Tamandua tetradactyla: one gene and its partner. The protein of the gene in region 1 interacts with the protein of each later gene in a pairwise test. Links are inferred from orthologs where the notes say so. Each region holds a gene or a part of one and is shown in the gene's direction. Other genes may lie near its edges. The genes, in order: RHEBL1 and TXNL4A.

Region 1 (3,911 bases):
CTGGCTCCTTACTGTCACTCAGATCTCAGTTTAAACGGGGCATCTTCTGAGAGGAAGTACCACTAATTTAAAATGATCATTGCTTATCACAACACTCTGCCTCTTTTATAGAACCTAACACTATCTGATATTTCCTTGTTATGTTTGTCTCTCTTCTACTAGGTTTTAAGCTTCGTGAGAGCAGAGGCCTTGTCTGTCTTGTTCATCCCTTTACCCCCAAAGCCTAGAGCAGCATCTAGAACATAAATATTTGTTGAATAAATGAATGCATTGATGATTATGATGATGACAGTGAAACCTCACACGACCCGGCCACAAACAGCAATTCCCTCAAGAACAACAATTGCAGTTCAGAAGTTAGATCCTCGAAGAATGAAAAATCTCACAACAAAAGGTCTGATTAAAGGGAGGGAATATATTGGATTTTTGGCCTTTTTTTTTTCCTATCTAAGGACCTCAGAGTCCTGGCAAAAGGGAGTCCTAGAATCTTTTGACCAGAAACTTCAGCCCAGCCGTAAAAGATATTTTCCGCCCATGATTCTCCGAAGTCACTTCAGCTAAGTTGCAAATACACAAACACCTCTAGGACCCCGGGTTCCTTTCTGTTTCTTTATGAATGAACCGGCTCCAGTCTGCGCACGCGCAGCTCCGTGTTCTCCCGCTCCACGTGAGACCCACCCTTCCCTCCCTCTGGCGACCCCGCCCTTATCCTTTCTAATGGACCAATGGCGAGCAGCCTGGGGGGCGGAGCCCGGAGCGGCGCGGCGGTGTAGTTCCCCGGCGCCCGGCTCGTTCGCGTTAGTCGTGCTGTGTTGTGATCACGTGGCCAACTCCGGGCGCGGCGCTTGTTTTGGTTTCCCTCTAGCTTGCCCCTGGCAGCTTCAGGGTGAGTGACTTTATTGCACGGGTTGCCAAGGCCTCCTACACGCTGACTTCCTCCCCTTCGGGCTATCTCAGCCCGCAGTTCTCAAAGCCCCTTGGGGCGGGCGCCTGCCATGCCGCTAGTCCGCTACAGGAAGGTGGTCATCCTCGGATACCGCTCTGTAGGTGAGTCTCCGCCCTGGGGAGATCACGGACGCACCGCGGCTTTGCGGCCAGAGGGGGCGCGCTGCCGCGGAAGTCCGACCCAGGGAGGAATGGTGGCATCGTATGAACAAGGGTGTAGAGCGAGGATTCAAAGGATGGAGGAGGAAAGGCCGGGGGAGGGAGATGCAGGAAGCGGGGGCCGTGGGGGTTAATATGGGTTTGGATGAAGGAACACCTGAGTGGTCCCAAGCGTTACTGTGTCGGTGGGAGTGGGCGCAGGGGATGCGGTCTGCCTGGGACAGGTAGTCGCAGGTGTCCTAGGGCGAGGCCGACTTGACATTAGGGAATCCTGGGTCTACTGGGAGGTGGGGGGGTGGGGTAGGGAGAAAGACGGCGGGAAATGCTTCCTGCGGCGCTGCTTGATGTATATTGTAGCCAAGGTGCAGAGACTCAGGGAGAAGAAAGGGTGAGGGTAGATTAGGGAAAGGCATTACTTGGGGCATTCAATGGCTGGGGTGCACAACCTGAGAGGACAGAGGGTGGGAATGTGGACAGAGGATTTGGATACAGTTATCACTGCCCCCCACAGGGAAGACATCTTTGGCACATCAGTTTGTGGAAGGCGAGTTCTTGGAGGGCTATGATCCTACAGTGGAAAATAGTGAGTAGACTTCTCCCTTAGTGTGACAGGGATGGGGCAGGAAGGACTTGGGTTCCCTACCCAACTCCATAATTTAAAATTTCTTTGGTGTTAAGAGGCTGATTTAATAGATATGAAATTTAATCTCTTCCTTCTCAAGCAATCCTGTTCTATAAGTGGTGCTAAAGTTTGGATTTTGCAGGATTTGGATTGTCCAGGATGGTGACAATGTGGATCTGAACCCTATCATTGTTGCTCCAGTTTCTTGGAGAGTTCCCTGGACCTGGTCTATCCATGTATCATCCCCAGGGTTAGGAATGTATGGGGAAATGTATTGCTGTTCCTACAAGTTGCCCCATAGACAATTTTTCTTTTTCCTTTCAGCTTACAGCAAGATAATGACTCTTGGCAAAGATGAGTTTCACTTACACCTGGTGGATACAGCAGGGCAGGTACCAGTTTGGGGTTGGGTATCCAAATGTAGCAGTTCAGCCCTGAGAGGTGAAGTCTGTTAGCCTTTGTGGTTCGTCTGTAAAGTAGAATGAAAAGAAAGGCATTTTAGCAGCTAGTAGTATGCAGGGCTTTTTGAAACTGCTCCATAAATTCTTTTGAATGGAAGTAACTGGATTATGGAGTGTCCCAGGGAGAGTCCCTTGGGTACAGTCCCACAAGTCTGCCATTTGAGTGATGTGGATCTAGGATTGATGTTTCTTTTTCTTGTCAGGATGAATACAGCATTCTGCCCTATTCATTCATCATTGGGGTCCATGGTTATGTGCTTGTATATTCTGTCACCTCTCTCCATAGGTAAGTTGCCAAGGCTGTGGGTGGGGAACTTGGGAGGAACTGAGGGATGTCCCAGAACTAAGGTTACAGCTCCATATCTTGTGTTTGAAGCTTCCAAGTCATTGAGAGTCTGTACCAAAAGCTGCATGAAAGCCATGGGAAAACTCGGTGAGTGGTCCTGGGGAGTAGAGATATCCTATGGAGATAAGTTGGTGAAGAGTTGAGGGGAGATTTGGTCCAAGTTAGGGAGGAGAGCAGGACATAGATACTGCCTGGGCTGGGTTGTTCAACCTAACGTGAATAAGGTTGGGGTCCATGGGGAATGGAAGGGGATCTTGTAGTGAATTCTGTTTCCTCACAGGCTGCCGGTGGTGCTAGTGGGAAACAAGGCAGATCTCTCTCCAGACAGGTATGTGAATGTTTAGAGCTCAGGCTGAAAGTGAACTGGACTAGGAATCAGTTGGGCCCTAGTCCTGGCTCTGCGACCAACTTGGGCAAGTCATTTCACCTCTCATTGTTTCTAACTTGAAAGTTAAGAGAAAATAACCCTTCTATCTCAGAAAATCATCCTTCCATATTTCAAATTTCTATACTACATTCCCCCATCACTCCTTTGTTTACCTAGGTCTTCTCCTTCTTCAGCCTTCCTCCCAAACCTTGAGAAAATGGGATGGGTCAGAGGATGTATAGATTCTAAAGATTTTGCAAACAATATGGGAACATTACTATCCTCCCAAATTTGCTTCCAGGGAGGTCCAGGCAGTTGAAGGGAAGAAGCTGGCAGAGTCCTGGGGTGCAACATTTATGGAGTCATCTGCTCGTGAAAACCAGGTGCTTGGCCTGAAGACTATGAGGGTGGAGGGGGTAGTAGTGTGTTTCTTATAGCACTGTTTGATGGTTGGAAAGTGGGATGTTTACCTCAGAGTTGGGTGGTATTGGCACTGAACTAATTGACTTATCCCTTACAGCTGACTCAAGCCATCTTCACCAAAATCATCCAGGAGATTGCCCGCATAGAGAATTCCTATGGGCAAGAGCGTCGCTGCCGTCTCATGTGAGCCCTTAGATATAGGGTAACTGCCTTGTCTTTGCCCCTGGCACTTGCCAGGCTCCAGTTGGGCAGGCCCTTAGGACTTCACGGGTATTGTTGCCAGCTGTGGCCCTGGCCCTCTGGGCACACAGTGTGGTACCCTCATGTTTGCACACTTTCCTCAGGCTTCAGCAGCCTGGGTATCAATGTTTACAAAGGGGCAAGGATGTCTAATGGGCACTGGCCTCTAGCCCCTCCCATTTTTGCTAAATGAGTTCTGTTACAGCCTGCAGAGTTGGGGTAGATGGATCCTGATCATTGTTTATACAGGAACCATCCTCCTTTGTATGGTTTGGGTATTGGCTGGGTTAGGGAAGCTAGGGATTCCTGAACAGTAGCAGGCTCCCTGGGATGGCAATGTATATATGC
Region 2 (3,911 bases), on another chromosome or scaffold:
CTCTCTGTACTTGACTCAACTATAAAATGAAAGAAGTTGGGTTAGATGATCTCTGAAAAAAAAGATCTTGAGTCATACGTACGTGGAATAGATTCTATATTATGTAATAAAAACTTAATCTGTCAGTGAATTGCACTCTATGGATTCTCTACTAAGAATGATTCTAATATTTAAACTGTGTCCTGCTGTGAACCTACAGAATAGGTCCTGCTGAAGTTCAATGGGCACTTAACATGAAAAATGAAACAGATCACTCCAAACAGCAAAATGGTAACAATTTATTAGGGAATTTACAGTCCAGAAAACTGGTCCTAGGTGGCTGCAGGACATTCAGAGTAGTGCCCTGTGCCACCCAGCAGATTATAGTGGTTATATAGGGCAAGAACTAGGAAGGCATAGAGTCAAATTGGGATTTGCAAGATCCTAAATATGCCTCTTTGAAGGTACTGATAGCAGGAGTGGTTCTAGTATGGATAGCTATTGTGCCAAGGAATGTGCACGAGCACCTTAAGATACATCTACAGTTGTGGGGAGAGGTTCCTTGTTTAGGAATTTATGTCTACTCTAGTTTATAGCCTCACAAATTGTCATTAAATAACATAGCATTTTAGAATATATGCTTCCAAAGGAAACTGAATACCAAGTCTTGGTTTCATTCTCCTGCTAGTGGTCTCCCCACTTGGTAACACAGCACATCAGAAGAAAGTTTTGAGCAAGTTTATGTTATGTGCATGAGCTCCTTTACAAATATATATGTACATAAGACATGCACAAAGTATAAAGAAGAAAAATTATGAAACACTTAAATAAATGTATATATTAACAATACAGAAAATACTTCAGCTCTTCCTAAAAATGTCCATAATTTTTAGAACAATAAAATTGATTAAGTTGCATCCTTGTTTTTGAAAATCCTGGTCTAGCCCTGCAATAGCTTTGGGAAGGCAGGGTTCCACTGTAAACCACTAAGATCCGTGGCTTTTTGGGCAGCTTCAAGTGCTTCATTGGCGGTGCTGTATTCTTATCTTCTTTAAACTTTTTTTGTCAGTTTTTTTTTTTTTACATGGCCAGGCACTGGGAATCGAACCCGTGTCCTCTGGCATCGCAAACAAGCTGCTGAGCCACCGTGGCCCGCCCTTCTTTAAACTTTTAATTTCGGAATAATTTCAAACTCACAGGATAGTGGCAGCTGTCTGTGCGGAAATTTTACTCAGTCCTGTCCACCAAGATGTTAAAAACAAAATTTCAGTCTCCCTGACGTCAAATATTTGTGCATATATGATATACACAGTTATGTATATGATAACTAGCTCGATAAAGCCCTGCTTTTTCTAAAGATGACTATTTCGATGCTTTTTTAAAAATGTCCCAACTCTCGGAACGCACGTGGGCTGACAAAAGCCAGGCCCGGCGGCACCCAAGAAAGGGCGGAGCAACCCCGGGGCCCCCCTTCCCCAGGCCGAGGTCGGCGGGGGCGCGCACGCACGCGGGGTCTCGCGCGCGCACCCGCTACGTCAGCGCGCGCACGCAAGAGGTTCCGGGCACAGCCGCGCGGAGCAGACGCGGGTGGCTGGCGAGACGCTCCGGTGTGGTGTGAGGTGCGCGCGGCCGGGCGCTGGGGCGCGTGGTGTGGGAGGAGAGGAGGGCCGAGGCGGGGTCGGGGGAAGGGAGGGCAGGAGGGGAGGGCCGAAGGGGTCGTGGGGAAGGAAGGGGAGGGGGGAGGGCCGAGGGGGTCGTGGGGGTCGTGGGGAAGGGAGGGGAGGGCCGAGGGGTGCGGGGGAAGGGAGGGGATGGGGAGGGCCGGGGGTGTCGTGGGGAAGGGAGGGGAGGGCCGAGGGGTACGGGGGAAGGGAGGGGAGGGCCCAGGGGGTCGTGGGGAAGGGAGGGGAGGGCCGAGGGGGTGCGGGGGAAGGGAGGGTTGAGAGGGGAGCGTCGAGGGGGTCGTGGGGAAGGGGAGGTCGCGCAGGGCCGCGCGCCGGGGTCCCCGTCGTGGGCGAGTCGGCCCGGGAGGCGGAGGCGGGGGCTGGGGCCCGGGCCGGAGCCGGCAGGGTGGCGACGCGGCCTACCGCCCGCAGGTGAGCGCGAGGTGCCGCAGCCTCAGGATGTCGTACATGCTCCCGCACCTGCATAATGGCTGGCAGGTGGACCAGGCCATCCTGTCCGAGGAGGACCGCGTCGTCGTCATCCGCTTTGGGCACGACTGGGACCCCACCTGCATGAAGATGGACGAGGTTCTGTACAGCATCGCGGAGAAGGTGCGCTCCGGGTCCCGCAGCCGGCGTGGGTGGCTCCTAACCCTTGTCTCCTGATGTGCAGACACGCCCCGCGGGTAGAGAGGACTGGGCGGCGTGCAGAGCCGTGCCTCGGGAGGGGAGGGTGTGCTCCCTGAGAGGGCACAGAAGGCTTCATCTTTTTCCGGGAGAAGTTTACAGGAATTTCCTCAGATTTTAGAGGTTCATGATCCCTTCCCAAATAAGTGAATAATTTGTACTGATTAGATGTGTTTCAAAATTTACATCTGCATTGCAATGGGGAAAAAAAGAATTTGCAGACTTTGGCTAGAGCATTGATGCTTTAAATAGCTGAGTTAAAAAGGATGAGCTCTTTTTTTGGCACCTTGTTTATTTTAGTTATAAAACAGAACCCTTATGTTAATAACAGTAAAGACTTCTTTTTGTTTTGGTAATGGTTTTTTCCCTTCATCATAGCATGTTCTTTGTAAGTCACCTGATTTATATCTTTGAATGATTGAAATTCAGGTGACATTAGGAGAAAAATAGAATTGTGCTTTTTTAGGACTGGTTTCCCTGATTTTTAATGTTAGTGTACTGGGGAGTCTAGTACTTAACTTGATGAAGACAAAGGTGCCATTGTAGGGCACTAGTACATACCCAGGGCTTTAGTTTTCTGTATTTTCCTGATTGGAATTTTTAGGTTGATTTTTATTTAAGTTTTTGAAATTGTAGCAGTAGGGCAAGAGATAAAGCTATGAACATGTTCATAAATAGTAAAATTATCGTTTCATAAATCATTTGAGATGGTCATTCATTTTACTGGAGAGTAAAAGTAATATAATCACTGATACGCTCTTGTCTTTGACGCAGATAGGAGATGCATTAATGATGGCTGGGTTTAAATGACTGCTTTGAAGAACTAGTAACAAGCTATAAATATTTTATCGAGGAAAGGAAAAATTATTGGCCCTCCATTTGTTCATTTTTACTGCCCTGTCTTGTCAGAAGAAAAGAGTGAGGTAGTGGTGTTGCTTTGTGAACTTTAGGAACTGTTCTTATGTTTTAGAAGTCGTAAGTATCATTGAAGTGCTTGTTAAAATGCATCTCAGAGATTCTGACTCTATAGGTCTGGGGTGGGGACCAAGAAACTGCTTTTTAAAGAAGCTCCCCAGGGAATTCTGATATGACTTGATCACGGGCCACACCTTAACTTCACTGAAGGTAAGAGTTAGGGTAGGAGTGCTTTGAGATATTGAAGCGCATCAGCAGGTTCCCGGAGAATTTCAGGAGAACAGCAGAACTCTCAGAAACTGGGGTCAGAGGTCAGGAGCGAGGGCACCAGCGGGTGAGTACACAACGAGTACACATCGCTTGAGCACTGCTGGGGCAGAGCAGAGGGCACTGGGAGCCATCCCTCAGAAGCTCAGCCTTGCTGTGTTGACTGAAATCATTTGGGATCTGCTCTTCTGCCTTGCAGCTGGCGGCGTAAGCACCAGGTGACACCCAGGCCCTCACTGCTGCACCAGGTGCGGCCAAGGTGCGGCCAAGGTGCTGGAGGTGCAGGGCCTCCTGGTCTTAGTGTCTGAGCCAGTGCGAGGCGTTGGTGTGAGGAAATCACCCCTTCCGGTCAGTCTCATCTGAGTTGTTGTCCTGGTGCCTCAGGTACCCACAGGTGCC

The links.
Region 2: the proteins of RHEBL1 (region 1) and TXNL4A interact in a two-hybrid assay, tested with the Homo sapiens proteins (2 studies listed by BioGRID and IntAct). The link is inferred for Tamandua tetradactyla from reciprocal best matches to the Homo sapiens genes RHEBL1 and TXNL4A.

The regions. Positions count from the first base shown.
Region 1 is NC_135333.1:109,943,644-109,947,554, reverse strand, and holds the start of RHEBL1 (GTPase RhebL1), read left to right. Parts: upstream 1-757; 5' UTR 758-995; coding exon 996-1,047; intron 1,048-1,615; coding exon 1,616-1,687; intron 1,688-2,050; coding exon 2,051-2,118; intron 2,119-2,390; coding exon 2,391-2,473; intron 2,474-2,563; coding exon 2,564-2,620; intron 2,621-2,813; coding exon 2,814-2,861; intron 2,862-3,201; coding exon 3,202-3,283; intron 3,284-3,420; coding exon 3,421-3,510; 3' UTR 3,511-3,911.
Region 2 is NC_135344.1:2,385,573-2,389,483, forward strand, and holds the start of TXNL4A (thioredoxin-like protein 4A), read left to right. Parts: upstream 1-1,513; 5' UTR 1,514-1,598; intron 1,599-2,075; 5' UTR 2,076-2,102; coding exon 2,103-2,255; intron 2,256-3,911. UniProt on the Homo sapiens protein: Plays a role in pre-mRNA splicing as component of the U5 snRNP and U4/U6-U5 tri-snRNP complexes that are involved in spliceosome assembly, and as component of the precatalytic spliceosome (spliceosome B complex).